Caenorhabditis elegans: one gene and its partners. The protein of the gene in region 1 purifies or fractionates together with the protein of each later gene. This does not show direct contact. Each region holds a gene or a part of one and is shown in the gene's direction. Other genes may lie near its edges.

Evidence for each region.
Region 2: the proteins of rsbp-1 (region 1) and gpb-2 purify together in Caenorhabditis elegans (affinity purification with western blotting, with the first as the bait; one study listed by BioGRID). This does not show direct contact.
Region 3: the proteins of rsbp-1 (region 1) and eat-16 purify together in Caenorhabditis elegans (affinity purification with western blotting, with the first as the bait; one study listed by BioGRID). This does not show direct contact.

The regions. Positions count from the first base shown.
Region 1 is NC_003279.8:9,068,345-9,079,515, reverse strand, and holds rsbp-1 (Abi_C domain-containing protein), read left to right. Parts: upstream 1-4,438; 5' UTR 4,439-4,446; coding exon of another isoform or gene 4,447-4,644; 5' UTR 4,645-4,891; coding exon 4,892-4,933; exon of another isoform or gene 4,934-4,935; intron 4,936-5,530; exon of another isoform or gene 5,531-5,551; intron 5,552-6,120; coding exon 6,121-6,209; intron 6,210-6,292; coding exon 6,293-6,375; intron 6,376-6,843; coding exon 6,844-7,061; intron 7,062-7,754; coding exon 7,755-7,838; 3' UTR 7,839-7,952; intron 7,953-8,611; 3' UTR 8,612-8,666; downstream 8,667-11,171. Other genes in the region: chaf-1 (Chromatin assembly factor 1 subunit A dimerization domain-containing protein), read left to right, coding at 1-7, 60-468, 514-581, 931-1,060, 1,113-1,181, 1,276-1,629; T06D10.8 (uncharacterized protein), read left to right, coding at 4,447-4,644; rad-54.L (DNA repair and recombination protein RAD54-like), read right to left, coding at 9,459-9,542, 9,834-9,908, 9,952-10,063, 10,185-10,282, 10,710-11,051.
Region 2 is NC_003279.8:7,315,112-7,325,297, reverse strand, and holds gpb-2 (Guanine nucleotide-binding protein subunit beta-2), read left to right. Parts: upstream 1-4,212; 5' UTR 4,213-4,349; coding exon 4,350-4,426; intron 4,427-4,473; coding exon 4,474-4,562; intron 4,563-5,110; coding exon 5,111-5,247; intron 5,248-5,342; coding exon 5,343-5,461; intron 5,462-5,693; coding exon 5,694-5,886; intron 5,887-5,929; coding exon 5,930-6,148; intron 6,149-6,440; coding exon 6,441-6,537; intron 6,538-6,639; coding exon 6,640-6,818; 3' UTR 6,819-7,008; downstream 7,009-10,186. Other genes in the region: F52A8.3 (uncharacterized protein), read left to right, coding at 1,708-1,850, 2,383-2,540, 2,703-2,968; F52A8.1 (DUF2650 domain-containing protein), read right to left, coding at 7,249-7,338, 7,408-7,650. UniProt on the Caenorhabditis elegans protein: Guanine nucleotide-binding proteins (G proteins) are involved as a modulator or transducer in various transmembrane signaling systems.
Region 3 is NC_003279.8:9,717,853-9,728,393, forward strand, and holds eat-16 (Regulator of G-protein signaling 7), read left to right. Parts: upstream 1-4,868; 5' UTR 4,869-4,951; coding exon 4,952-4,972; intron 4,973-5,022; coding exon 5,023-5,142; intron 5,143-5,252; coding exon 5,253-5,336; intron 5,337-5,400; coding exon 5,401-5,494; intron 5,495-5,538; coding exon 5,539-5,617; intron 5,618-5,994; coding exon 5,995-6,291; intron 6,292-6,428; coding exon 6,429-6,542; intron 6,543-6,589; coding exon 6,590-7,100; intron 7,101-7,114; coding exon of another isoform or gene 7,115-7,128; exon of another isoform or gene 7,129-7,146; coding exon 7,147-7,232; intron 7,233-7,549; coding exon 7,550-7,565; 3' UTR 7,566-8,432; downstream 8,433-10,541. Other genes in the region: ocrl-1 (Rho-GAP domain-containing protein), read right to left, coding at 345-603, 966-1,327, 1,644-1,937, 2,476-2,593, 2,720-2,848, 2,899-2,993; Homeobox protein ceh-5, read left to right, coding at 9,365-9,508, 9,731-9,873, 9,918-10,035.

The DNA.
Region 1 (11,171 bases):
AAGAAAAGTAAAGATTTTTTAGAAATTATTAAATTTATTTTACATCTAATTGTTTTCAGGGAACGGTTGGATAAGAAGTTGGAAGAAGATAAGAAAAAAGAGGAAAAACGGAAAGAGGCTGAAGAGAAAAAGAAAAAAGATGAAGAAGAGAAAATGAAGAAGGATGAAGAAAGGAACAAAAGAAAGAAGGAAGAAGAAGAAAAGAAAGAAGCTAAACGGCGGGAAGATGAGGAAAAGAAAGAAGCAAAAAGAAAGGAAGAAGAGGCTATCGAAGAGAGAAAGCGTCGACAGTCTGCACTTTTCGCTAAATTCTTCTCGAAAGTCGAAAAGAAAAAAGTTGCAGAACCTCAGAAAGAGTCTTCTAACTGGTATCTACCATTCGAGAGAAAGGATGGAATGTCTCTCGCAAAAATTATTTCAAGAGATCCACTTCCCGACGATGCTGATATTTTTACACAACACGAAGAGGTATAATTCGAAAATTTTATTTATTTTCATAGTTTTTATTTCAAGATTAACTCGATCGCTTCATTCATTGAATCTGCGGCAAAAATTGTACCAATTGAATCTTCAAAGGCCAGGTAAGTACATAGTTTTTTAGAAAATCACATTTTCGAAAATTTGAAGCTTTGTTTATTCAGATTTTATTTACATTAGAAACACCTTTTCATCTGAAGAAATTTATTTTTATTTCTTATTAGTAAGATTTCTCAGTGCGTATACTCGAACGATTTGTTTTTAGCATGCCTGTATATAGGTTTTTATTATTTTAATAATTTTCATATCGAAATAGTTTTCCAAAAATTATTCTAAACTTTATATTGTCCCAGGGATTCTAATACGTAACTAAATTATATTTTTCTTCAATTGTAGTTCAAAAATATTATTCCAAATGACTAAAAATACTAACATTTGTGATATAACTTTCAGAAATATGAAGGCAAAGTTGTTCCAATTTCATGGAAATCGTCGTCCACAGTACTATGGAACATGGCGAAAGAAGTCAAAAATTGTATCCGGATCGTGTCCATTGGCAGAAGAAATTGGTATTGATTATAATGTGAGCTTGTCTGCCAATCAGCGAAAAAAAATCTTAAATTGATAAATTTCAGGTTGTATCGGATGACGAGTGGGAAGACGAACCTTCTGATGGTGAAGAATGCAATTCCGATGATGATGCTGTTAGTTTTCTTTTAATTTCAGTTTCTTTTTAAATCAATAATTATGATCAAGATTTCAATATATTTTGACACATTTAACTTGATTATTTTTCAGGAAAAGGATAACGACGATGACGATGGTGGTGAGGAAGATGATGGATTCTTTGTTCCACCGTGTTATCTTTCGGATGGAGAAGGTGATGAAGATTCGACATCTGATAATGACATTGCTGGAGATAAAAAGAAGGAAAAACAACCAAAAAGAATCACAATTGATTCGGATGATGATGAGAATTCAACAGATGCAGCCGAACGAAAAGCTCGTCTTGCTCAACGTGCCGAAGATTGGGCAAAGAGAACCGGTAAAAAGGAACTGGCAATGAAGCCAAGAGCTGTTGGACCTGTTTTTAATAATTGTGATGATCAACCAGAAGAATTTAAGTTTATGATTGCAGTCAAGTTCTACTAATCATTTCCGAAAGCTATACTAGAATCGGATTGACAGTTTTAGTTATTCTACTGTCTAATTTTTTATTTAAAATTCCAATCCTTTTTAAATATGGTTTTCTTTCTTTTTGACTGTGAATGTCTCCCTTGCGTCCCGTAGTATTTATCATTTTCTGTTCGTATATTCCCTTCTCCTAACCAGAATTTCATCTAAATTTATGATTATTTTCAAATTTAATTTCCCGAATAATTTTAAAACTTGTATTTTCTGGTGTATTTTTCATTCTCAAAGCCAAAATGGTGGACGAGAAGAAGAAGGAAAAATGAAGGAAAAAAAGAAGAGGAAGCCCCTTTCGTACACACACACACACACACACGCATATACGTACAAAATAACGAGAGAGCCAGACGACGAGAGCTCTTCGGGGAAGAAACAAGCATGCGAGACGCAGATACGTAGACTACGAGTTGCGTGCGAAAGAGACTACGCGTCGCGTGTCCCGCGCACGCGACGCGTCCCCTTGCTTCTTCGAGCTCTCGATGTATGGGGGTCCTTTGAAGCTTTTGGGTTTCTTGGCACTTCTTGGAAGATCTTTCATAGAATAGTTTTAGCCATTTTTGTGGTTATATTTAATACTTAACATCGTTCATCTGATCTGAAAAAAAAAGAAGATAAATTTGATATTCAAATTCCTCACTTATTTGCCAATTAGATTTTAATTGCTCTCTTCAAACATTCATTTTTTAAAAAGATAATTATGTTCAAAGTACACTGAAAAGGAAAATAATTCACACATTTCGGATCTTTATGGAACATTCCTGAAAATGTTACCGATTTTTTGGCATTTTTTCGTTGATAATTGTCAAGTTTTATACTTATCAAACTGTTATTCTTATCTATACAATTTTCAAATATACCTGTATCTACCAAATCTACCAATTTACTATGCCCTGTTCTATATGTAACCCCGCCTTCTTTCTGGTATAAATGCCAAATTTGTTTTTTAAGTTGCAAAACCCCCTTCTTAAAAATATCTGAGTGGTATTTTCTAAAACTAAATGATTATTTTAAAACTGTTTCATACATGTAGGAAAAGTAAGCTTCACCTATTTTTTGAGGCATTTTATTTTTTTATAATGCGATCGGTATTTCTATAGCTCGGAGCAATTTAAAATTTTATTTTTCGTTTTTTTTAAATATTAATATAATGTACATTAGTTTCTATGAAGTTGAAACTATAAAGTTTTCATTTGGATTTGCAGTTTATTTTGGAAATCTCAATACTATTTTTAAATGAAATTCATTTCCTTGCTACGCTCCAATAAAACCTACATTGTAAGACTGTAAAACTAGATGATTTAATTAGATGTAGGTTACAACTATAAATCAATCAATTCTCTGCAAAAAATACGCACTCCTTCTGTCTCTCTTTCTATATGTATCTCACTGGCTCCAATGCTCTCTCAATGCTTCCTCAAGTCATTATCGATTCTCTGCATCTATGAGTCTCTCTCTCCGCCACTTTCTTTCTCGTCGCAGCTTCACTGAGCCACGCAGAGCAAGAGCAGGGGGAGCAATGCGCCCTCCTTGTGCTCTTTTTCTCTCTGTATCTCTCTCACTCTCTAATATCTCGCCCTTTCTACACAAAATGTGTGTGCATCCATCCATTTCATGCTTCTTCTTCTTCTTCTTCTTTACCACCGAAAAGCAACACAAATAGAAAAAAGACGAAAATAAGAGAATGAGAGACACAGAGAAGATATGTATACAAGCAGAGAATCGATCATCTATGCTTGACCAAAAGCTGAAATTGGTAATAAAAAGGAACTGTAATAAACATTTTAAAGTAGTGTTGCTATGAAAATTCTAGTAAGATTCAGCACTGTCAAAATATTAATTCAAAACATTACCAAAATTTTTAAATAATCTAGAATAGAGCTATGATCTAATACTATAAAATACCGACATTATTTTCTAGAACAAATTAGAATTTCAAATACTATTTTTCAATTACAAATTCTCATAATCCCCAGTACACGAAAAATGATGGGTTTTTTGAAATGTCAATTCAAATTGAAAAACCATATATTTCAATCCTGATTGAGTATGTCGATGAGCATTCATTTTTTAGAACCTCCTTCCCAATTAAATTTTCAATAGACGCAAAACGTACTCACAATAATTTGGATCTTTTTCTGAATAACACACCAGAGACTAATTCTGAGAACTGAATCTATTTAATATTTAAAAAATTAGTGAACAACAATTATCATTCATATCCATGAATTATTGCTTTCTTTTTCTTACAGTCCCTAAAGTAAATTTTTTATTTTACGGTTCCAATAATTAAACTAATTATTTTCAATTTTGGAGCTACATTAACCCTGTCGCTTATATATGAACCACAACTTTCAGTTTTACAATAAATATTTCAAAACTGAACTTATATTTCTACTCACAGGTTAAAAAAAACTGAATTCCTTTGAGCCTAAAAATTATTATGTAATAATTTTGAAGTAACTCTAACTATGGGTGTTGTAAAAATATTTTTTTCAGTGTTTTTTTTAAGAAAAAAAAGGAAACATTGGATACCTATAAAAAGACGAGCAATAAAAAATACCCGGGTAACTATTAAGAATATGCTGACTTTTATCAAGAATATGCTGATTATAATAAGAAATATAGCAACATTATAATTTTTAAACAAAAAAATGCAATCTAAAAATGTCTCGCTTTAAAAAACCTAAAATATTTCTCTAACCACCTATACAGTTCTTTTACTAATTCTTCTCAAGTCTTTCTATTTCAAATTAAATATTAATTTTTACAGAAACTGTTTTGACAATTACGTGCTTGTTTGACCATTCACCTCCTCCTCCCCCACCCGGTCCTCCTCGCTCCCCAAATTTCTTGGCTGACATTTCCGTTCAGGAGCTCGTCAGCTCGGCGCGCAGCCCGCAGGAGGTGTGGTGGGTGGTCGGAGGACTCAATCTTTGTTCTTCTGCCACGAGGAGATCGAGAATTGTAGAAGAATAAACAAAAAAAGAATCAAAATAAGAAATATACAATAATCAAGACAAACCACGGAAACTGTAGCTGTAGTGTGATCTTCTAAAACAACACAAAAGCTTCACCACACCGCAAACGTTTATCATTGGTCTCGGTTTCTCGACGTCTCCATTCTTTTTCTCTATTTCTCTTAATCTCTACTACTGTCTCGTACTTGCTCGATTTGGACACACCGCGGTTAGGCTTCTTTGAATAAGGTGGCACTAACCGCGGAATGCGACAGCATTCCATGGCCAATCCAAAGAAAATACAGGAGGTTTGTTTCCATTTTTAAATTAAACTGACAGTGATTACGTGGCCAACAAAAGTTGATGTCCGAACTTTCCACTATTCGCGAAACTCTATCTGTGACCTGAAAATTATCATCATAAAAATAATATAAATCAACCGTGTAATTTTAAAAGGAGGTGCATAGTCAGTAGTAGTTCAGTTCACAAATACATTTATAATAGTCTAAAATGCCCAAATACCATAAATAAACTCTCAAAAATGTTGCTGAGTTTCCAAATTTTTCAGTCAACGTTTTGGTAAATTGCCAATTTTCAAAATGTGGACTTTTTGATTATGAGTATTTTTGTAGGTTTAAACTCCTAGAATGGTTAAGTATGTACAAACAATTAAAACGCAATACAAATATAAAACTAGCAGAACAATTTTTTTGGTAGTCTTCCAGAATTATGATGACTGAAAACTGAGCTTTCACCTTTTTTTACTGTGCATATAAACTTTTAAGTATAATTTTGAAAAGGTTTACTATGATTTTTGAATAATTTCTCAACTTCAATAAAATAGACTTTTGAAATAACATTTTCGAGAAATTGGTAAATTGCCAATTTTTGTAAAGAATGAATAATTTCATACCAAAACGTCCAACTTCTTCAATGTTTGAATTCAAATTATCGAAACAAAATTAGAAAAACCGTAGAAAAAAAGGGTATAGTTATCTACACATGTATAGTTTTTATCAGAAACAATTATCTCCCAAAGGCCAATTTTAGTAAGAAAACTCGACTTTAAAAAGTAAACATTATAAAAGAAAAAATAAATTATCTAAAAATATTAAAATTGATGAAAAGAAAAACAAATTTGCTTGAAACTCGAAAATAACAGAAATATTTCAAAAATCTTCAAAAAGAGTGGGAATCAAAAATCCCTCCATTCCGATCAGAATATGTCTCTATTTTTCTTTTCGTTTACCATACCATCACAGATGTTTGACTAAATACTTGAGAAAACGAAGCACAAAAACTGTTCACGGATACCTCAGATCGTCACCGCCAATCGCCATCCGCCCCCGCTCACTTGTCGGTGATCCGATATATCCCTCGGGGGAGGCGGAGAAATGGGCGGAGATGACAAACAATCGGGGGCGGGGATTGGGTGTGCAGCCACGTGTCATGATTTTTAAAAATGGAAATAAGAGAAATGAGTACTGTTTTACAGCTGGTGCACGAGTGCAACGTGCAACTTGCACTCTTCCGTGTAGCAACACAAGGAATCGGAACCGCCCAAGATGGTGCATCATTAAGGAGGTTTGTTGCTTTTTCCCCTTTCTTTTTTATTTTATCTTCAAGTTGTTTTTTTTTTCAAAAAATCTATATATCGAATATTACAGGGAAGTCGAAACAGCGGGTCGAGCCTGTCAGAAAGCAGTTGAAGCAGCAAATAATGTTGTTCTTCCGCAGTTAAGGGCAGATGGTAAGAATATATTTGAAACTAAAAAAAAGGTTAATTTGGGAGAATAATTAAAAAAAAATCAAAGACGTTGATATGATAATTCTTGTTTTAATTTTTTATTCAAAAAAATTAAGTTTTGAATGTTCACTATTACAATGTGCTGTAATTTCATAATTATAAAAATTAAAACTTTTCGAAAACATTTTTTATCAAGATCTATTTTTATCAGCATTAATTTGTTAAAAAAATGCTTAAATATTATAGAAATGATATTTTTCAAAATTGTGCCATGAATTTTTTCCCATTCTGTTTCAAGAGTAGTTCGATCGAAATTATTTCTGATTGTGAGCAAAAGTAATGAGACAGTTTTATTTTTACAATTTTTGTGATTGAATATTATTTCTTGTTTTTATTTGAAAAATATAAACTCTTTGTAGCTTCAAAAATATTAACTTTTTAAGGTTTAATCGTTTTAAAAATAAATTTCAGAAGCAGAAATAGCTCGTCATGGATCATTATTTATTGGATGTGTTGGTGCATATCTGATAGAAATGAAACGTTGTGTAAAGTTGGAAAAAACATTTCCTGCTCCAACAGAACCATCAGTAACACCTCAACAAGTGGAAAGAGTTGAAGTCATTTTGGATACTCTTGAGAATTTAATAACGGTGCATTATTCGACAAATGAGCAACCGTGTTTGGATAAGGTAAGACTTTTGTTTTAAATATTGAAAACTACGTGCAATAGAGAATTATTAAATAATATCGGTTACTGTAACTCAATAGCTCGAGAGTTTCTGAACTAACTTAATTCAAGTCGATGTTCAAGGCATCGTCCTTGGGAATTTTGTAAAACAACACTCATAACCAAATATTTAACATAAACTATTTTTTTGGGCCAAGCTTGGGCAAGCCGTGACAATGAGGAAATTTTTTTAATTAATTATATGTATAGTTTTAAGATAACCGAATATTATAGAACAATAGTTCCACACATTTTTTGAATTTTTTTAGTTTCAGTAAAAAAATATGCAATTACGCACAGCCAATTTGCACCTATCATAACTTTAAAAGTCGATTTAAAAAGTTTTTTCTCTAGGTTTTCAAAAAGTATTATGCTTCAACTATTTATATTTGAAAATTTTAGAGGTTCTAACTTGATTGACTTTATTTTTAAATTTCAAAGTTTTCAAGTTTTCAAAAAGTTTGGCAATTTACCAAAACTATGAATAAATGTTTCGAAAATTCTAAATCATTTTACTTAAGATATTTCTCTTGTTAATTCATTCCGAGTATATTTTGACGAAATCCCCACTGGCACTTTCAAATACAAAATAATATATTTCACAACTCTTCGGCAAAAAGTTCAACGTTGCCCTAAATAATGTTAAATATTTCAGTTGCAAGTAACACCACGAAGAAGGAGAGCCACATCGTGTCGACCGCAGTGCGTATGTTCAAAATTGAAAACGAGTTATGCATGAAAAATGAATAATGAGCTCGAATTTCACAATTATCAAAACGGATCAACAAGCCCCGCCCACTTTTCTTTCGGTTTTCTTCACGTTTTTCTCTACGCCAATGTTTCTTTCTTATAGGTAAGTATTTGAAGTTTTGATCTGAATTCTTTAGAGAAATAAATTTAAAAAATGTTATGCAAAAAATTAAATAACGTCTGTGAACTTAAATTATTGAAAATGAGTTGTAATGAAATTTTTTTCAAAAAATTTTAAAGGAAAAATTGAGTAAAAATTACGAGTCTTCTTCCCAATGCATTGGAAAATAATATTTTTTCAGAAAATTAATTTTTGAACAATCTAGTGTACGCTAATAGCGTTTAATAATCTTTTTAAAAAATTAAATTGCTTTTGAGGTGTAGTATTGTGGGAATTTTTCTTTAAAATACCCAAACTAGTCTGAATTTCCAAAAAGTAAAAAAACAAAAACAAAAAAAAATTTACTCGATTTTCAAATTATGATTAAAAAAAAAAATATCTTGAAACTTCCTCGAAAAATAAGAACTGCAAGACCAATCAGCGAATCGCCCCGCCCACTTTTGCACTAATGAAATTAGAAGTGGGCGTGGCGTTTCCTATTGGAGGAAATTCATTCCCAATTTTTAGAGTTAGGTATTTTTCATTTGTACTGATTTTCTTCTGGATATTTTAAAAGCGAACTTTCCATTTACTCTACACCACCTTAAAAATGTAGAACTTCATAGCTACAGTAACCTTACAGTAACCCAAACATTTTACAGGTGCAGACATTGCTTGGCTTCATCTCCATCTGGTGTCTTCCATTCTTAAAGCCACAAAAAAGTGTTTTCTTCAAATTTTAAATTTAAATAGTTGTAAAATCGCCTAGTAGTTTTGTAACTTTTCCATATTTTTAAAAAAATTTCTTCTAGTCAATTACCTCAAATAGGTTAACTCAAACCTGTAAAAAGTGAACTGATTCTGACCAAAATATTCCCCCAAAAAATTGAATTTTTTGCGACATTTTGCATATTTATTGTCTAAGTCGAAGATTGTCGATTTTGATTTTTCAAATTTGAAAAAAAAATCGATCGATAATCAACATTTCCGTTTTATTTACATCATCAAAGCTCAAAAAATATAATATATTCATTTCATACCTGTTGGCGCCTGACCTTTCCCGGAAAATTTAAAGTTTTTATTATAATAATAGGCATAATTTCTTCCCTCAAATTACAAAATAATGTCTTTTTTTGCATAATTTTTTCCTCTTTCTCAACATTTTTCATGAATTTTTTTTCTGAAAATTTGTACATCGTATCAATGTATTTTTGTGCAAAAAAAAACTACCAACTACCCCTTTCGTTTCCAACCCACCCACAATTTGATCAAAGTTTGTCTTTTTTTTGTCTGAATTTGAAAAATAAATTGAAAATTCATATTGCAGGCGGTGTATTTTACATGAGATCGGGCGATAAAAATGATATTGGGATGACTTGGAACAAAAATTGAAAGAAACAAATTAAATAAATAACAAAACAATATAACATGTCCCGTTTTCATCGCATAGATAGTCTATGTTATGAAATAGGGAGACTTCTAGATTTGTTTCAACTTGGAAACATTTAACTAATCGTCGTTTTCTTCGGCTTCAGAAGGCACGTAGTCCTCATCAACTTCTTCAACTTTTTCCTGAACTTTCTTGACTTCAACCTGCAAAACGCTATTTTGAAGCATGGAAATATTAATTCAATGATTCTAAATTATATATCACAGACAATTTAAAAATTACAGAATTAGAAAAATAAACTACACAACTAGAATTCGAAAGAATTTCCAAAAAAAAAATCCAGTCGGTTTTGGAAAATTGTTTTAGTCGACTTCCAAAATTTTGAGTGACAAAAACTGAGCAATTGTCACTTTTTGATTTCCACTTTTTTTTGAAACATTTTACTATTATATTTGGTAATTTTGGCACCATAGACGTAGTTTTTTTAAACCTACGTTGTGCGATTTCTGATGAAAAACAAAGGAGATCGATCCACATTCGAAGACGGCTCGGAGCACATTATCAGCCACCTGAAAATTAAAATATTTAAAAATAAAGATAATAAATACAAACTTTTCTAGCTGATTTCTGAGAATGAAACCAATTCGATAAATCACTTGCACAGTCCGCATTGGTTGGTGGATCAACACTTTCAACTCCTTGAATACATCTTTTACATTTTAATCTGAAAGAAATTTATACAATTGTACATTATAATGCATAACATTATTATAACTATCAGAAGAAAAATTCACCAAAAATAAAATCGGTTTTATAAAAAATATTATTTTCATTCTGATACTTACTTTTCATGTGTATCCGATGCCACTGTTGATTCCAACTTGAAGAGTTCTCGAAGTTGCTCGGAACTAAAATGACGAGCTACGTCTTCACCCGCATCAACCTGAAATTTTTAAGATAACTATTAAATACCCAGATACTGATAATAATAACCACATAATAATCTGCAATTTTCACTCTAAAATTAAGTTAGTTACCGCGTCTCGACACGACCAATTTTTCAATTAAAAATGGCGAGCGCCTTTAAAGAGTACCGTGGTTCTAGGTTTTTTTTCAGAATTTTCAGCAAATTAAGATACATGTAATACAGTATTTGAAAAGGCGAAAAAGAAATAGCAAAAAATTAAAAAAAAGTTTCACGATAACGAGGAATTGAGAACTACAGTACTCCTGAAAGGCGCACACTCATTTGCATTTGAGAAAAGTCGAAGCGGGGAACCGAATTTTTTGACAAAATCGCAAAATTTAACATTTTAGTTCTAGTAGTCTTTAGAACATTTTTAGATTATATGAACAAGAGGAAATCTTACCACACACGATGACAATGCTTTTTTATGTGTCTGACGTTGAAACATTTTCTCTTCAATTGATCCAGTTGCTAAAAGTCTATAGATGAAACACATTTTCTTCTGTCCATCTCTCCAAACTCTCGCCATTGCTTGATCGTCATTCGCTGGATTCCAATCCGGATCAAACATAACTAATCGATTGGCTCCAATAAGATTTAGACCACATCCACCAGCTTTCGAAGAAAGAAGGAAACAGAAGATAGTGCTGGCTGGATCATTGAATGTATCGACAATCTTGGAACGTTGTTTGATTGACATTGAACCATCAAGGCGCACGAAATCATAGCCACGAAGTTTGCACAGCTGAAAAGTGAAGAAGTTTCAAAGTTTAAGTGACCACGTTATAAGTCGGTCTAGATTTTAAAGGTGGTGAATTTGCTTCAAAAAATCCAAAATAGTCATACATTCCAAAAAACCCACAAA
Region 2 (10,186 bases), 1.8 Mb from region 1:
GTTTTCTTCGGCAATTCTTCCCGAAAAACCGGAGATTTTTTTTTCGGAAATCTTTGTGGGTGGACGATGACTGATCGAGGCGGTTTTGGTGCACTTGAAATGACGACATCTTCACGAGAGCCGACTTATGGGAATTGGGGAGTCGATGGAGCTGCTCAGTTTTCGAGAATTGCTCATGGACGACACAACCTGTATCGGATTTCCTGCCGTTCTCACATTTGAAAAATGATACCTGACACGTGACGGTTCCTTCCTTGTTACTTTATAAAGTAACCAGCCGTGGTCCGCACCTCCGGCGCGGCCCCCGACTTCTGGAGCTGAAAACTAATTTTTCTGAAGCTACCGTAATCATACAGTACTCCTACCGTGCCACTATTGTACCACTACAGTACCCCGACTATATCCCTACACTAAGCCCAACTCACTATCCCTCCAGAAGCCAAAACGTCACAGACTACAAAGACTACATAGACTACAAACTATGTACAAACGGAATGAGCGCTTTATATATAGTAAATGATAGTTACTTTATAAAGTAATGTAGCTGAAGGAATGAAATTTTGGAATGTCGCCAACATGATGTCTCCTTCACAGTTCTTGCATTCTTTTTTGATTCCTTCCACGTGTGCTCTCAATACTTCAACTTTACGTCATCAACACATTCTGAATAGCGGCTTTTCATTGCAATATGCAGGATCAGGTTGGTTTTGGAATGCTCTCCGTTTCAAGTGCGCACTTGTCTCCGCCATCTCTTTTGTCGTCTTCTACAGTACGCGTCAAGCTTGTCTACAACTGCAAACAGACACACAAATTTGGAGCCGGATTCCTGGTCACGCCTACTTTTTTGATTACGACCTGAGACAGAACAGTCAAAACGAAACATTTTCAAACTTGCCACTAGTAGGTCAGGTCGTCAGATTCTTTGCCAAGGTTCGTTTCAACGTTTCAATAACATTCAAAGTTTTTTAAAACTTCTTTAAATTTTCCAAAATCAGAGAGCCTTTGCAAACGAGTTGCGCAAATTTTTGTGCATTTAGTGCATGTTTACAATTTTCGAATTTGTGCAATTTACAAAATATGTAAGCAATGTGTTTTTGACCGAGTTTTGAGCAATTTTCAAAGATTGCAAAAACTCCAACGTTTAACATTATTCAGTTTATGTTTTTTCTAGTTATTAAAAAATCCTAAAAGGGTAATGGTAAAAATTTGGGGTGGCCATTTGCCTTGCCATTGGTGAGCTGAATCTGGATTAAGCAGAAGTCTTCTGAAAATCAGAGTAAAATAGGGCAGTCCATTTTAGACTTTCTGGTGCAAATATCTCAAAAACTCAATTGTAGAAAAAATATTAGATTGGTTCTGCTGACGTTGTAAAATGTCAAATGTTATACCTTGAGTGGTCACTCGGAATTAGTTATCTAAAAATTCAAAATAAAAAAAACTTCACAACCATGTAATTTCCTTCTATCAAAATTTTATGAACCGAAACTATTCGGCATGTGATGACGTGGCACCTGCCAGGTCATCTTGTGACCCCTCTCTCTCTCTTCCACCTTTTTAACCTCAAAAATGAGTAAAAGAAGAGGCAATTGAGCGTGTACCAATATCATGTTGACATGAAAGACACACCTAGGTTATCAAAGCTATAAAAAGGAACAAATAATTCTTAAACTTTAGTACTTTCACGGCAGAAAACTTCTCTATTCCAGAATGTGGCGTTTCAATTCCTCCTCTTCAATTAAATCTATAATGTTACTGTTAACTGTTTTTATTATGATGGCAAATTGTGAGCAATCTGAGGAAGTTCTCACACGATCCAAGAGAAGTTATTATGGTGGATATGATATGTATGGGTGAGTTTATATATGGAATTGCAATGGAATAGACATACATTTAAAACTACTTGCTTTTCAATATTTTAAAAGTGAGATTATACAGAGTAGTATTTTTTGGTAGGTTAAAAATTTTATTTATCTGAGGGAACATAAAACCAAAACTTCAAAATGTTAATCCACAAGAGAAAAGTTAAGCCAAAATTAGCCAGCTCCGGTAAAATCCGAGCTAAAAACTAAATTTCAAAAACACTATTTTTACCAAATCACTTCGCTGTATTGTTTTAAAAAATCGGCAATTCAAATGTAGCTTTTTAGAGACAATACACTTGTCTTATATTTGCAGCAAAAAATATAATTTGTACAGTACACTAAACTTTGAAGTTCGAGGCGGCAGAAGGCAGGCATTAGGCTCTAGATAGGTATGTAGACACTTACTTGAAGACAATCCTTTGATCATGGAAGCCTTCGTTCATGTTGATTCCATTGCAATTCATAATTTCTAAGCATAACGAGCAATTGGTACGTATCACTGTAGGGGTTCTTGTTGCAGTGACGATTTTTGGTATGCCGGAAGGATTATTGGTATAATTGTTGGAATATGCCTATTGCTCTTTTGTTGTTGCTTACCATGTGTGTGTATTGCTGGAATTTGGTTCGCTGGATGGTTTGGGCTCAGAGGAAAAAATCAAAGAAAGAATACTCAACAAGGTATTTCAACTTGTCAATTTTAATTTTTCCAGTGGATATATTCTAGACAAAATTGCATTTCAGTTCAATCAAATTTCTTGAATTTCATAGATTTGAGACATTTCTAACTGCTTCACATACAAACTAAAAAATTCAGTAAAAATAGCCAATATTTCAGTTTAGTCTCATCTCCTATCATTGCCCAATCTGCTCCTGTTCCAATTCCTGTCAATTATGATAATATTCCTGGTAATGCTAATTATATTCAACACACTCGTCAAGCTCCACGTCAAATCCACGTGGACTCATCACCAAGAGATTCTGAAATATCTCGTGTCATGGTTCCTGGTGATCAGGTCATGTTCTCTGCTGAAGATCGTTATTATACCTCGTCGACGGCTCCGGCAACTGCTCACCGACCTGATGCCTACAATGTTTCTCGATATTAATTTTTCTGTCTTTCACTTTTTCTGCTTGTATATTACGCTTGAATAAATATTTTGAGTCTTAAAATTATTGGCACTGAAACTACCGGTGTACAAGAAGTGTCTTACAGCTACAGCTAGTCTAGATTTCTGGTTTTAGTGGGGAATTTATTTAAACCACTTCTATAGTGATAACATTGTTAATTATCAATATCATAGTAAAGCTTTTCAGAAAAAAGTTGAATATGTTTATGCGCTGTCGAAAAGTGGTAAATTCTCATTTTCACACATCATAACTCTGCAAGTAGACAGAAAAATATGTTTTATACGAGTTTCCTATTTTTCTTATGCCTTTTTTTATTATAATATTGTAGGTTTTAGAGCATTCCACAATGCTATTCCCTGCGAAGGATAAAGTTGCAAAAATTTGACAATTTTCCATAACTTATTTTTTCAAAAAACCTAAAACGATTGTGGGACTTTTTAAACTGGTTTTACTCAACTTTTAAGCTAACCTAGCACTTTTTTATAATTAATTTCACTTCACAAAAACCATCAAGACATGTGCATTGCCTAATTTTAACTCATCCCGTTCTTCGAGCCACTCTCTTTTCCACATCTCTTCCGTCTCTTTTCATCTTTTTCCCAGAAACCGCGACGCGACCGCATTGCATTCTCTTTCCATTGCAAAAAGGACCGCTCGGCAAAACGAGAAAAGAAATAGAGAAAATAGTGAAGAGGGAGAAGCGAGACATAGCGGAGTAAGGCACGCAAATAGAATTCATTGCACCATGATTTCGGGCCCTCGACGGCTTTTTGTCGTGGCGAATATAGTTTTGTCTTAATCAATACCATCAAATTTATGATAATTTAATGATAATGTAGCCACATCCATCCTATTTTTGAGCATGTTCAACAGAATAACTTTGCAAAAAAGGCTTTTACTTTTATTTTTTATAAACGTTACTTATAAAATGTGTGAAACTCCGATCATTGCAAAACCTTAGGCAAATATAAATTAATAGTAATGGTAGTACGATATTTTGAATTACCTTATCAACATGTTTTTGGTTTAAAATCAAATTCTTTTTACATTGTGCTCGTTTCAATTGTGCCAAACTGTTGTCTAATTTGTTGTTTCAAATAAAAAATTAAAATCCAAAATCATGTAAATGATCTTGATCTTCCTATATATTTCTTACATTTCTAGGCATGTCCTTTAAGAATTTGGCTACTTCAAACTTATTTTTTTAATAGCAATGTTTCAGGAAAAATGTGCCTCTAAACCTCAAACAAACCGCCCATCTCTAATTGTTCTATTCAAATTCATTTTCTTCAACCCTCAGTCTTCTCTTCCTTTTTTTGCATAATTCGTCTTCTGATCTCAAAAAGAAACGCAATTTGAATGAGCACCATTGCTGGAGAATCGTCTTCCTCGTCGAAAATGCCAGAAAACTCTCAGCCAACAACAACCGAAAAAGGGTATTTGTACATTTTACATTACAAAGGGTTACACTACATTATTTCAGATCGGAATATTTAGAACAATTGGCAAATGAAGCCGAAGAGCTTAGAAAGAAATTGGATCAAGAGAGGCACAAGCTTAATGACATTCCTAGTAAGTATTTGAAAAAAATTAAAAAGATAATTTATTAGAATACTTCAATTTAAAAAGAGGGACTTTGAAGAAGAACACTACTAAAAAATTGAACTTTACAATTCCTAGGTTAGAAATCCTCCGGAGTCTTTTTTCTTTGTTTTTTTATTGAAAAAATAAACTTTTGAATTAAAAGCTCACAATCAGTGAGGATATTGAATAAAAATATCAATGCGGTTCTTCATAACCGAATATTATAATTGCCCAAATATCAATACACACCAAAAATTACGTCTAAGTTTTGGTAAATTGTCAAATCTAGGTGAAGTTGGACTTTTTGAGAACTTGTTTGACTGAAAAAAGTTGAAAAAAGTTTTTGAAAACTTTAAAGAAATTTGAGTTAAATAATTTGATGAACAAAAAGATACCAGATATGCTTTGTGATATTTGCATAATTCTAAATGTTTTCTCTTTGACTTTTTTGAGGTTATGCCTAATTTACTATTACCAAGAACTACAGTAATCCCAAAACGCACTAAGTAGTTTTTTACATCCTAAGTAATTTTCAGTTCAACAAGCAGCCGAACGACTTGACGTTATGGGAGCTCTTGGTGTAAAACAGCGTCGAATTTTAAAAGGACACGTGGGAAAAGTATTATGCATGGATTGGTCATTGGATAAAAGACATATCGTCTCTTCATCTCAGGTTGGTTTAAAATATGACTTACAAAAGATTCAGTAGTCTTCAAAAATTGAAACCTCGATTTCTAAAATGAATTTGCTCAAATTAGTAAATTTTAGGACGGGAAAGTGATTGTATGGGATGGATTTACTACGAATAAGGAACATGCTCTTACGATGCCAACAACTTGGGTTATGGCATGTGCATTCTCTCCATCGAGTCAAATGATCGCTTGCGGGTAAGATTTCTTTCAAATACTTCAAAGCTTTCAAAAAATACAAACGGTAGTACACGGACTTATAGTGTTCATGAGAATTTATTGTTTTTTTTTTCAAATTATAAAAGAGCTCTTACAGACGGAATTTTCAAAAATTGGCTCATGTATACTTTACCAATTTTGAAGCTTTCATGTTATTAATTAAAAATTTTTATTATTATTTTTTGAATTTTCAAAAATTCCAATTTTACAGAGGACTTGATAATAAATGCAGTGTCGTTCCACTTTCTTTTGAAGATGATATAATTCAAAAGAAAAGACAAGTAGCAACTCATACTTCTTATATGTCATGTTGTACATTCCTTCGTTCGGATAATCTTATTTTAACTGGAAGTGGAGATTCAACATGTGCTATTTGGGATGTTGAAAGTGGACAACTTATTCAGGTTTTTTATTCTCGCGAATCGGAAACCCAATTCAAAAATTCAGAATTTCCATGGTCATACTGGTGATGTATTTGCAATCGATGTTCCAAAATGTGATACTGGAAATACATTTATTTCCGCAGGAGCTGACAAACATTCTCTTGTATGGGATATTCGTTCAGGACAATGTGTACAATCATTTGAAGGACATGAAGCTGATATTAATACTGTTCGATTTCATCCAAATGGTGATGCATTTGCAACTGGATCTGATGATGCTACTGTAAGTCACAAGTGTTTAAACTTCTTCATTATTGAAAATTGGAGAAGGGATGGGAAATTATGGAAGCCTTGCACGACCATGTGTCGAATTACGCAGCTAGTGTACTCCTCGAGAAGAAGTGACAATATGCCCACTTCTCCTCGGGGAGTACACGAGCTGCGTAAATCGACACATGGCCGTGCAAGAGAATCTTAATTAAATTTCACGGTTATTCTTCCATTTTTCGAAAATTATAGTTTGGGAGAAAGTCGCGAGAGTTGCTTGTTTTGTCTGAAAATATTACTTTTTCCAGTGTCGCTTATTCGATCTTCGAGCAGATCGTCAAGTATGTGTGTATGAAAAAGAATCAATCTTGTTCCCCGTAAATGGAGTCGATTTCAGTTTGAGCGGTACGTTTAAATCTTCACAAAAACGTATAGTCCAAATCAATTCAATGCATCTCTGAAATTCACAGAACTAAACTTTTCACTCTAACTATTAAAAAATTACAGGTCGTATTCTATTTGCTGGTTATGGTGATTATCGTGTCGGTGTATGGGATTCGCTGAAATGCGCCCGTCATTCAGTACTTTATGGACATGAGAATCGTATTAGTTGCCTCCGAACTTCTCCTGATGGAACAGCCGTCTGCTCGGCGAGCTGGGATTGCACAATTCGCATTTGGGCTTGATTATTTAATATTAATTTTTCTCTTACAATTTTTGAGCTTTATGTCACTTTACTCATCCCCCTTCCCACCAGTCTCTATCCCTGTACTATTATCTAACCATCCCACTATTTTCTCCTATCTCAACTTTCTAGTCACAAATACTGTAAAGTACTCGTTCATTGCTGAATGATGTAAATAGAATTCACTAAATACACCTGTTAAAATACAATTCAAAAAGGCAAGGGTGAACTGTGAGGAAAGGAAAATTACATAACAAAAAAGAAAGAAGTGTGGAAAGTAGAGTATTCAATGAGCAACGTATGGCAAATTATCAGAGAATATTAAAAGGAAGAAATTCAGTGAATTGGTTATAAAGAGAAAAGTGGAAATTTTGATAAAACTGTTGCCCCGAAGATTTGATGAAGAAATGTGAAAATTATAAGTCAAATACTTATGCGCAGCAGAAGCATCTGACGCAGTTGATGATGATCGAGAGAATCGTGCAGACGGCAAGGAAGAGAAGAAGAACAGTAACCCAATCCTGAAAGAAACAAATTTAGAAATTAACATATTTAAATTTCAGCAGATCTTTTGAAAAATGAATTATTACCTGAAGACGGAAGCAACACTGATCAGCAATCTGTCCGCAGCACTTGAAGTACCAGAAAACGTTCTCTTCTGGGCAAGCTTGTCCGACAACTGGAAGTGGGCATGCCAATGGACTCCTTCTGATCGTGAGTGGCTCAATCGATTTGACGTAGTCGAGAAGATCATCTCCTTCGGCACTGACTGATGGGGCACAGGCAAGAAGTGCCATAGCGAAGAGGAACAGTGGAAGAGTGTATGACGACATTTCTGAAATTGCAAAAATGTTCAAAAAAAAGAAACGAATAAGAAATAGTTTTCAAATGATAGAAAATAAATCGAAGCAAGGGAGAAATGAGATGGGAAAGAAGAAAATGATGAGTAGATGGAAATGGAATTGAATCGGATTACTGCAACTAGTCTCGGTAGCAGATAGAGTAAGATTGAATAACGGAAAAAAGCAGAGTTTAGCTTTCAGATGGCGAATTTGCCTGACGCGGTTCCGCAATTATTCCCGATGTAGTCCAATGTAACAACAGGTTTCACTCTATAATTTACTGTTATGTAATAGAAAGTAAAAATGTAAATGTTCTGACTACCTATTTTGTAGAATTTATATTCTACAACAGTAGTAACTAGCTTTCAAGAAAAGTTGCATTGAATATGAGATTGGCAAATATGTTTTGGAATTTGTTTGCCATTGTTACCTATTTGCAAATATATTCCTGTGTAAAAACATCGTCAGTAGTTAGAACAATAATTAAAAATGCAAATGCAAAAGCTGTGGTTCAATAGAAACAGAAAAACCTACAAAATCCACAAAGCAAATTTTTTTTCTAACTAGATAAATCTTTTGGTGTATGCCAATTGTACACCTTTAAATCGGTTTTCGAAACGTTTAGAAAGTGACTGACGGTCACTGAGAAGGTCAAACCAATGATGACTGCGACTTTGATTTCCAAATGTTGTAAGATCGATACAAGGTTGATACAATTCACAATTGCAGGTTGGAAACGAGGAGAAAGGACGACGAAAACAAAAAGGCCGGCTATTAGCTAAATCAAACTGACGGCTAGCAAGAAATCCATGCTAGAGAAAGTGAACAATTGAAATAAAAAAGAAAAGAAAGAAACGTCGCACTTTTTTCGAACAATTCGGAAACAAAACATTATTGCGAAATCAAAAATTTGAAACTTGTTTCTGAAAATTTTCTAGCGTTTTATACTTGTTGTATGTGAAGAAAGAACAACGCATACAGTTGTGATTCATAGCTCAATGTGTAAAAAAAGAGTGACTGAACAGTGGCTAGTAATATAAATGCAAATAAGAGAGACAGAACGAACCGTTGAAGAACGAAGTAAAAAAATCGGTTGGTCATCCGTCACGGCTTCTTCCTTCCTTTCTTTCATCTCTCAATTTCCGTTGAATACGAAAATGAGAAGGATGGGGTGTAGATCTGCTATTTTCACTACCCAAAAGAGGTTATCATATAGGAAAGCGAAAGGTGACATGATTGAAAGGGCTGCTGACCCGAAAAAGCCGAAAATCGACCCACAAAGAAAATGGCTAATCACCCTTTCTTCTCTGCAGGGTTTCATTAAAACCTTCAGCTCTTCTCGTTTCCCTTTTAAATATTTTCGACGAGAATATGAACACTGTGAGAGATATTTAGGGAAAGAAACATGACACTATGTCGGCCTTCTGATGCATAACTGACGATTTTTTTTCATCCAAAAAACCAGGAGTACATAACTAAAAACATGAAGGTTTCGACCACAAGTAGCCGGAGAAGAAGACCAAATGAGACAATCAAGATAGAAATGTCGTTGAAAACCAATCGAATTGGGGCACACCCAAAAATGTGAACATGTAGGAAGGTTCGTTGTTTAGATGGCTATGAAGATGACGGTTATTGTTAGGACACAAGAGGGAAGAAAAGAGGAGAAGGACAAATAACGATATTGACTCTATCAAAAGGGTATCACACAGTTATGGTTTTTGTGAGACTCGTAAGTATTAAACAACATTAACTATCGTGCGCACAACACAAAGCGCGTTATTTACGGACCAATCGATGTGTGTGGGGACCGCGAATAGTGTCCATAAAGGAGACGCCGGTGGTTGATAAAAAGGAATGGTGGACGACGACGTCCTTGACGAGTCGCTAATGTGAAAAGAAAATATTGATTGTTGGTTGCCACAGTCAGGTAGCTGGCTGAATGAAATGAAAAATGGAGTTTCTACAAACAAAGAGAATCAGGCAGAGATAGCATTTTTTGAGACGAAAAGTGAGAATTTTTCTGTTTGGGAACCTTAATTAAAACTTGAAATTCTATCTTAAACCTGAAGATTTAATTAATTAATTCCAAAATGATCCTTAAGATCTTTTATAATTCTCGTTACTTTTTTTCAATTTCACATTCATCATACAAAAAATCGAGAGACAAAAATTTGAAAAAAAACTGCCTTTTATTTCTAATTCAAAATGAATTAAGGTACATGAATATCTCAAACATTTGAGGAGATCAATATAAGTTCAACATAGCAGACTTTTTTATTCAAAAAATTATGTTTTTTGGTACATTGGCGAAGGATAGAGACACAGATACGAGAACGCTAAAACCGCGATTTAGATGTATAAAATGTAGCGGGGAGAATGGTTGAATAACCCAAGAAGAACCTGTCCTATCGTGCGTATTAGGCACCCAACTGGTCACGGACGACGGTGTCTGCGACGACGACGGCCAATTCGTTCGAATCGATTCGGATTCAGCTGACTTAGAGAATGGAGAATTAAAGAAAAT
Region 3 (10,541 bases), 650 kb from region 1:
ATTTTGAAAACACGACTATAAAGTGAAACAAAGTATTGGCAAATACGATTTCAAAAATCATGATTCTGAGGTTTAATTTTAAGACTTTTTTAAATTGTCTAGGGAAACTCTATTGAAACTAGTTAATATTTTCTTCTTGTGATGTCGAAAAATACATTGATGTATTTTTTAATATAATTATCATCGTGTTAAGAAAAATGATTTTTCGGAGTTTTCTACATTTTTGGACATCTCAAAAACAGTTATTTCTTCGGATGAAAAAACGCCGAAAAAAATTAATTAGAAAATTTCTCTTTTTTTCTTGAATTAAAAAAAAAAAATCTTCAACACAAAATACATCTCACCTTTGATTTTCCAACATTCTGCACAATAACACTACGTGTTTTAGGTTCCAAATAATTGACAATTCCAAAATCAACTTCATTTAGACTTAATTGAACCTGTGGTAATTCTTCATTTGCTCGTCGATCAGCTTCTCGTATTGCCTCCTCGTATACATTATTCGCTCCACTTTCATTGATTTTCTTTACTTTCAAATTGAACATGGCTCGTACTGGCTTGTGATCGGATATTGTGATTGTATCAATACTCACCATAGGACGGCTGTAAATGAAACTTTCACTGATTTTTATTTATATTTATGATGAATATTGTGAAAACAACACAATTAGTGTTCAGGAAATATCAAAAATGAAATCAAGACTGCCACATAAAATATTTCGATCTAAAAACAAAACTAAAAACCTAAATTTTTCGAATACAGTTTTTTGGTCCGACAATTTTTTTTTTCAATTTTTTCCCAAAAAACGACAGCCTATTTTTTAAATTATTGTTAGCAAAAATATTTCTGCTGCAAAAATTGAAAAAAATGTATGACTTTCTTCTTTTTTTCTCGAATTTAGAGTTTTTTCTAGTTTTTAAATTTAAATAATATTTTATAAATAATAGTTTTGATATAAACTCACATTGATTCCAATCCAACTTGTGGATACTTTTTAAATGTTAAAATTCGATCAGTCCATGCAGGAACTCTTCCTTTTTCACTTGTATCCCATGTATTCGTTCCACAATCGTATTTATAAGTTGGTCGAAATGGTAACGTTGATGGTTCTTCGAAATCTTTGAAAACGGTACCACGAGCCATTTGTTCGCGGAGCTGACAATGTTGGAGCAAATCAGCAAATTTATCACTTGAAGCTATTCGTCGAACTTCGTCGTTTGAAATTCCATACATATCAGTGTTTAATCGATAATTCAAGTCTCCAAACCAGAAAACGACATCATGATCATAGAGGCACATTATTGGAACTTCAAGAGGACGATCACGCTGAAAATTTGAATTCTAGATATTTTACAATATGATTAACTGTTTGATTTTGTTTTTTAAAACATTTAAATTCGAAGACATCACAGAACAAAAACAAAAAATCGAACTTTTAAAAGCTCGACTTTCATTTTTGGTTAATCTGCTATATAATTGAAAAAACCGAAATAAAAAATAGAAAAATCGAATTTTTTGAGTTGGATTTTTCATTGCTTTCTCGATTTTTTTTTCGCTTTGCATATGAGAATAATTTTGGTTATTTTAAAGCAGAATCCTCAGTTTAAAAGTTTCTTTTTTTTTTAAATGAAAATCAACTCACCAAACCTTCCTGTTGACTTCTCGGATAAAATACCATATCATTGTAAATATCTCGAAAATCTTGATTTCTCCGTTCTAATTCATTGTTACCAGCTGCGAAATGAGCATTCACAAAGCAAACCCAAGTGTCATTCATTTTCATTGAAACTGCTGTTCCTCCTTTATTACCCAATTTGTTAACTAGAACTGATATTCCCGTTGCAACATATTTCACATTCACATCACTGACTCGTACTTTGCTATTAACCGCTTGAAAAACGATTACAAATATTCCAACGAGACGCATTGATCCTACCTGAAAAAAGATAGATAATGGGGTACGTTTGCAGATTTTTTTTTGAATAGATTCACAACTTTTTTTTTGGCTTTTTGGTCGGTTTCCAGTGCAATTTTCAAAAAATCGGTACATTGGAACAGCTTTTTTTGTTGATTTGAGTATCTTTTCAATCGATATGTTCAAAAAATCATAAAATTTGATTATTACTTATTAAGAGTGAAAGATAGATAGATTTTCAAAACTTTTGTTAAATGCTAAAAAGTGTGCGCCTTTAAAAACTACTGTGGTTGCAAACTTTCATTTCTGCAGATTTTTAATCGATTTTGAGGCAGTTTTTCGATAATAATATTTTATTGTTATATTTGAAAACTTTTTTATGAATTTTATTGAAAAATTATGCAAAATCAATGAAAATTCGGCAAACAGTGTACCGTTATTTTTGGCGCCTGCAAAATTTTGTTTTGTGTCTGGACAATATTAATAGAATTTTTTAACTTGTATTTTTTTTCCGTTTGACAGAATATATTTTTATACCAATTTTCAATAAACTGCTCACCACATTGAATTGCGTTCGTCCTCCTGGTAAAGAACAGTGAATCGCATCAACCCATCCTTCCATTTTCTTTGTATTGTCAATTATATAAGTTCCAACGGAAAGATCCATTTCTTGAAGACTGAAATTTTTAGTGGATTGAATACTTTAGCGTGTTTGTTTTTTAAAAATTCATTACTACTTTTTCCTTATCAAGAATACTTCCTTATCAATGAATATACTTCATAAACAAGCATGTAAAACTCACCCAACAGCATAAAATTCTGCGATATCCTCGGGTTTTTGAGAAAACCATGTGGGGAAAACTGACAATGGGCTTCTTCCATTCACATTAAATGTTGAAACACAAATTTTGACATCTTGAAAGGTGCAGAATCTGTAAAAAGGTAATTAAAATATTAGTTTAAGATTTTCAGAATAGTTTACTTATGCATCCATTCTCTCATAACTTCATCAACTTTTGCATCTCTTCCTTCTATCCAATTACATCGTTGTTTCGTGTAAAACGTCGTCGTCGCCATCGTCACTTTGTTTCGAAAGAGACGTTTTACGTCTTTGACGACGCTTCTCTTCCGATTTTCTCTGAAATAAAACCAAAATTGGCATTTTTATTTCAAAAAAAACTATCTTTAACGATAAGAAAACTACAGAGCCAAGCTAAATGGTAGTAAAATCAGGAAAAAAGTAAAACGTGATGAACAAATACGATGTGACCGTCTAGTTGTCTCGTCACTCTCCTATTGCCAGTTCTCTCTATCTCTCTTTAGTGTGCAAACACCGAATTGAACACCGTATCCATCAACACATTTCGAACCTATTCAGTTTTCCCAGCAATATAATACACAGTTTATGGGTTGTTTATATTCAAGTTTCTCCGTCTTTTTCTATTGGAAATGAAAGATGATAACTCTGCGAGCGAAAAGATGATCGGAGGTCGATTCGCATGAATTTCCCATCGGAAAATTGAAAATCAGTATTGATTGAAACAGGAAGAACCACAAACGAATGTGTTAATTTATCACTCTTTATTATGACGATTTGTTCTGAATCTGGAACATAAAACTCTGATTAATAAAACCAATAAATTTATTATTTTATTTATTCCGCAATTACTTTCTTTTTTTTTTTGATTTGACAACCCAAATTATATTTTGGAAATTCTATTGAACTTTCTATTTATTTTCTAATCAACGTCGAAAACCGGTAGATCCTGCTGTGATGCCTAAATTCTGTACAGATTTCTCAAAATTTTTAGCAGATTTTAAGCGGATTTTAAGCGGATTTGAGATTTTCCCAAATTTTTTTTAAGTACTGAAAATTTCAAAGAGAATCAGCAATCGACGGAAGAATGTTGATCCATTTGCAGAAGAAAACCGAGCAGTCAAATATCCCAAAAGATTACTGAAACTATTGTGTAATCAATTTTCAATGCCCTGAACGAATATTAAAATCAGAATCAAAGATCGTTGACAATGTTCGCAATAGTTGAAATACGAAACAATCAACCCGTTTTTCACTTTTTTGACATTTTTTCTCCAAAAAAAAAGCTAGATGAGGGGAAGAGTAGAAAGTAGTAGTATCCTTCGCCTACCACCACTACCAAAAAGCAACACACACCATATACATGTTGAAGAGACTGAGATGTTAAAGGGAAAAGAAGAAGAAGCTCGTTGTCGCTGTCGTCGTCTTCGAAGCCGTAGCACATCGAAATTGAATAAAAGGGGAAAGAAGTGGACACAAGAGACGCAGAAGAATGAGAAGAAGCCTGGAATACTGCTTCTACTGCTGATTGTGACAACTCGAGACGACGAGATCGATCCGTGAAGTGAAAAGAAGGAGAAGCAGCAGCAGTAGCAGCACACGCACACACTCACTCACGCATCTCTGACACACACATGCACACACATAGAGGGCTCTCGAAGCCCTCTCGGAGCCACAGAGTAATTGAGAGAGTGAGAGACGTTAGACTGCTCGATTATTGGAAATCATTGGGCTGTAGGGGACCCGGCGACTAGGCAGAGAAGGGAAGGCGCCGCTCTCGTCGCCTGCGCTATTGACTTTGCCTGTCTGCGTTTGAATTCAGGAAGACAGCTTCGTCGTATGTCTCACATTCTCACTCAAAATCCACACTCACACACACACGCGCACAAACCCTCACTCTCCTCACCCGCTCACATATACACACATAAGCACCCCCTCGCCCCCCTCTCCGCCCACCACGCACCACAGCAGTCCCCCATCCCCGGAGAAGAAAGAAATAGAGAACGAGAGAGTCAGAGAACTAGAGATCTAAGCATTTTGGCCTTACTATTTTATTATTTTTCATTCCTATCATCTCCATCATCGTTTACTGATCTGCAACCGTATGATACAGTTCTCAAATATTCAATTTGCAGATTATTATTCTAATATTTAATTCAAAAATATCAAAAGCTGTCGAGCTGATTGAGACACGCTGCTCTCAAACCCCGCATTTTGTATGATGCCACCGTTGACCAAGGTATTTCATTTGAAGTTCAATTTTCTTAAAATTTCTTTTGAAAATTTTAGATCGAGGTGCTCGCGAAGCGAGTGATGGAAGGTGCGCAATTGAAAACGCATAAATACTTCCGGATCGCCGTGCCTCATGCCATCACCGGTCAGCAATTGATAGCTCTCGTTCTTGAGCGAGTGAGTTTACTTTCCTCTCAAATACAGCAGGAGCACTTATTTGAAAACTTATAAAGCTTCTGACAAGAAAATCACAAAAATTATGAAAATAAATTTTTAATTTTTAACAGGGTGCTCCTGACGATGAGGCTGAAGCGAGTCATCTGGCAAGTTTGTTACTTCACCACGGTTACATGTTTCCAGTTATCGAACATGTAAGTTAAAGACTGCAGTTTTTCAGTGTTTAACTTAAGTATTTTAAATTAAAAATTAATTCAGGGCCAACCTTTCAAAGACGATGGAACGTTATACAGGCTTCAAAGGCCGTATTTTTGGCCTTCACAGGCTGAACTGGTTCCGGATGTTGAATATGGTAATTCCAAGAAAAGTTATTGTATCTGATCCACTATATTTCAGCCATTTACCTCAACAAGCGATTGCTCCGAAATGAGCAAAAACACGGGTTAGAAGAAGATGAAGTTGAGTCATTCAACAGGTATGGGACATTATTTCGGACATTAGGAAAAATTATTTAGTCAGAAAATATTGAACAATCCTCACGACTTAGAAATAAATTGGTAAAGCTTCGCCAAGAAATCTTACTGAGATCACGAAAAATGTCAAAGTGTACAGAGATTAGTTTTGGCATTTTTATGATTTCAGTTTTGGAGTCGAAAGCTATTATTTTTAACCTTTTAAAAATTGGGTTTTTAATTTTTTGAACGTGCATCGCTGCAGAATGAAAAATCGAAATAATAATTTAATTTTTTTTAGATTATTGAGTTATCTTTCTCGAAATCTGAAAGTTATCTCTGGTGATAGAAAAGTATTTTGAATTTTCAATACATATGGCATTCAAAAATAAATTTTCAGACTTGCCGATGTTCTCGCACACATGTGGGCTTTCATCGTTCAACAGTCTGAGCTTCAATTGAAGCAGCAAAAAGAAAAAAAGAAAGTGGACAAGGTAGTGTTCGATTCAGAAGAACGAGCGTTTTGGAAGATACGAAAACCAAGTCGTGGTGGACCAAATTTCCTAGAGGACCCTTATATGAAAATAGAAAAGAAAATACGACGGCAGAATGCACAAGGTTATAGATGTCTTATGGATCGATTACGATTTGCAATCAAGACAAAGCCATGGCTAAAAGCATTAAAAGCATCGGATACGTGAGTATATTCAATCCAATTGTAAACTTTTCCTAGCTGAATCGAATCAAAATATGTATTATTAAGATTGAATTTCGAACTGATAATGGATCAGATATCAAAAGACAATAGATTCAATTAAATAATTCGTGTTTCAGAATGGTGACGTGGGTTGACCAAAGAGCTGAATTCGATCCATTCCTTCACCCTCCACAACCATCCAATCCATGGATCAGTGATGAAGCTTCATTTTGGAATCAGCCTACTGACACGTAAATTATTATTTAATCTTTAATCTTTATTGCAAATACTTTTTCAGGTCAAGTGCCGAGATCCCTACCGAGAAACGGGTAAAACGATGGGGACTTTCTGTTCAAGAGCTTGTGAAAGATCCTATAGGACGGCAAGTGCTCGAAACATTTTTAGAATCCGAATTTTCGTCGGAAAATATACGGTTCTGGATAGCGATACAAGATTTGAAATATGCACCGAATGAGCAGATATACCAGAAAGCTGAAAGAATACGAGAAGAATTTTTGGCTCAAGGAGCACCTGCACAAGTAAATGTAGACAATAGAACCCTCGATCAGACATTGGAGTGTATTTCGAAAGCGAAAGATGCTTCACAAATGAGATTCGCATTCTATCATTCTGAAGAGCACGTGTTCACATTGATGGCAAAGGATTCATATCCACGTTTCGTCCGATCCCAAATCTACAAAGCAGTATTGACAGCAGCGCAACAGCACGGAACAAAGCGACTCGGGTGGCGCAACTTCGTATTCAACATGGGTACAACTAAAAAACCAGCAACGAGTAAACCAGCAAAGGCAAGATTTTCCAGGAAATTATGTATGAAAACTTTGATATCTTCAGCCGCAAGATTCCATCGGGACTGGTCAAGTTCTCCCAAAACAGCTATCGTCCGACTCGCTGCCAGTTCGACAGGCTCATGGGGTCAAGTAAGTTGTGGAAATATGTCAGAAAAATCTATTAAAATGGGACAATCCTACCACACGAACAATTAACTCCAAAACTGTTAAATTTATATATTAGTTAAGCTTTTGTTCAAATAGGATAAACTGGCGATATACACCTTTAAATATCGGCTAGTTTTTTTTGAGTTAGTATTCCCAATCATTTTTTCTGTAACCTGTTGGTGCTTAAATCTCCTGTCTTGGCAGTTGCCATGAGATTTTTTGGCCAAAGACTAATGACTCAAATCCATCAAAGCTAAACTCATGACCTACTCTCTTCAGCTCATTTCTTTATTTTGCAGACCGGATCCCGAATGACGTCATTCTCTTCTCACATCTCGTTTCTCTTTTCTGCGTGTACGTACGTGTCTGCGTCTCTCTGTATATTCTTTTTCACTTTTCCCTCTTCTTTCTCAAAAAAAAAACCAAATCAAATAACGACCATCAAAAAGGGAAATCAGTATCCTCTGCATCGGTTTTACACGCAAATTTAAATATTTCGAAGCGAACCATTTGATATGTGTATTATCAATGAACTTCTTCTCAAAATTAACAATCTCGAACCACCCAACACTGCATATTTTGACCTTATTTTCTCTTCCAAATCGATCGATAATACATGTAATTCCACAGTCTCTTCAGACTCTTCTAGTCCATCATAATCCACATCTCCTGCCAGCTTCTTCTTCATTTTCACGATATACTAATTTGTAATCCTATTTTCTCACAAAAACGTGTACAAAGTGTTATATTTCTTTCTATTACCCATATTATTTTAATCTTTTCAGAAAATCAATTTTTGTTTCCCTCATTCATTTCACACAGAGTTCTCCTGCTTTTTTGGCACACTTCTCGTTTTTTTTTCAAAATTTTAAAAGTATCTGTAAGGTACCGCTAGCGTATTTAGGTGTTTCAACCTAACTTTTTTCAATTATATCTACTCAAAAATAATTTGATTTGAAAATGGTAATTCGCACCAAAAATGACGATATCATAACGTCTCAGTTCTTTTTTTTTCCAAAAATCATATATAAATTTCATTTTCTCTTACCCTCTACCTGGTGTGATTGTCTCAAAAAAATCAACTTTCAGAACCGGAGTTGTTACATAATATATTATTAATGTGTCAGTATATCATTATTTTCAGCTTTTTGTAGGCGTTGATGTTCAATAAAATTATTTATTCTTATTTTTATGTCTGTGTTACACCTTAATATATATTCGAAACTATGGGGAACTCTGGGAATAAGAAACACAAGGAAAGGGTTTTTTGAAGAATAAAAATTTCTTATATTACATAGATGTCTGAAGATGAAAATTTTGCGGGAAAAAACAACCAAAATGTGCTACGACACGGGAAATTTTTGGAACAATAGAGATTTTGAATAAATTTACAGAATACCGATTATGAGCACGAACGGATTCCGCAACGGATCACCCAAAATCAAACAGTGGGAAAAGGTTTTAGTTCACTTCCATTAATAAAATTGTCTGGATATATCTAATCTTCCAATTTACAGAAAATCCAATATGTATTAAAAATTCACAACGAAAACCCGGGGACCCGGGGAAAACTATTGATTTATCAAAATTATGTTGATTTTTCGAAGAGAAAAAATATAAATAATTTCTTTTTTTTTAAATTGAACCTTTTCCCCGGAAAAATCAAAAAACAGACACCATTTTTTTGGTACTATAATTTCAAGTTTTAAACTGGTAAGAATAATCACACAGCAGGTGAAAATGCCTTCAGCCTGAAAGCTTTATACTAAATTGGAGTCACGGAATAGTTGAATAAAAAAATATCCTGGGGATATTAGCGATTCACCTATGCACTAGCTTCCTATTGTTTTTAATGCAATTATTTACAGTCTAAGCATCAAATATCTTGCAACTCTCAGTCAAATGAGTCAATTCAAAAGTGTTTTGTTTTGTTTCTATTCAAACTTGGCACTTTCTTATCCTTATTCCAAGAATACAATTAACAATACGTTGGAGTAATTACTGCTGACAGCCTGCTAGTTCCCACCCACTTTCAAGTATCATCCTGTGATGTACCATATGTTGCTCTTCTCAGCTCATTCCATTTATTCACACTTTATTTTCTTGATTCAACTATGCCTTCTGCCGATACAGAGTTCATACGAGTTATTCGCATCAAGAGTGCTAATGGTTCAGAGAAGATGCTTGAAATTCCAGCAAAACTTGATTTGGAGAGACCGAAGAGACCGCGTACTGTATTCACCGATGAGCAATTAGAGGTAAGGCAGAAAATGAAACTGTTGAGATTGTTTAAAAACGATTATCGTTCGAGAAGAAGTTAAAACAAAGCTCGAATTCAGTCACAGCAATCGCTACAGGTTCTTCATTTTACATATTTGTACATCTAATGTAGATCATGAAGTTTGTGACATTTCAAATTTTAAAATGAAGAGATTGCTACAAAATTCATCATAGGTGTTTTTGAGAATCACATTTTTCAGAAGCTAGAAGAATCATTCAACACTTCAGGCTATCTCAGTGGGTCGACTCGAGCAAAACTAGCGGAATCCCTTGGTCTTAGTGACAATCAGGTCAAAGTTTGGTTTCAAAATCGAAGAACCAAGCAGAAGAAAATCGATTCTAGGTGAGTCATTACTCTAATTTAACGGAATATTCTAGGAATTTCAGAGATCCTATAAAGCCGGAAACATTGAAACCTGCTGAAAACTATCAAAACGTCTATCAGAACTATCAAAACTATTGGACAGCCGCTGCATTTCTATCAAACAATGTCATTTCGTCATAATCATTTCGAATTTCAAAGCTACGATAAAAGGACAAAGGAAACTCACCTTTTACTGATAATCTTTCCTTTTTTGTCGCCTCGATTCGGGCTCGTTTGCTTTTCTTCTTGATGTCTGAAAATAATAAATTATAAAAGTGTTTAACATGGAACGAACGTTGGGAGAATTAATCACGATAGCTTGAGAAAAGAAGACAAATATCAAATTCACTGTTAATTTTCATTAATTATCCGAGAAAACATTTTTCGCTGCGGAAACATAATAAAAAGCCTAGGAGTTGAACGTTTCTAAATAATGCTACGTGGCGCCTTTTTTCTGCCTTCTTCCTATGTTAAATATGGAATGTGCAAGGGTCGTCACTTTTTGCGCACAAAGTGTCACAAAAAATTTAAAAAGTTGGGTGTGCACTTTCGTGTCTAACTTTGCTGTACCTGCACATTTTTCAATTTTCTTTTTTGTAGGAAATAGAGAATCGCTTTTTCTATCTTACTATCTAAATGGTTATTTG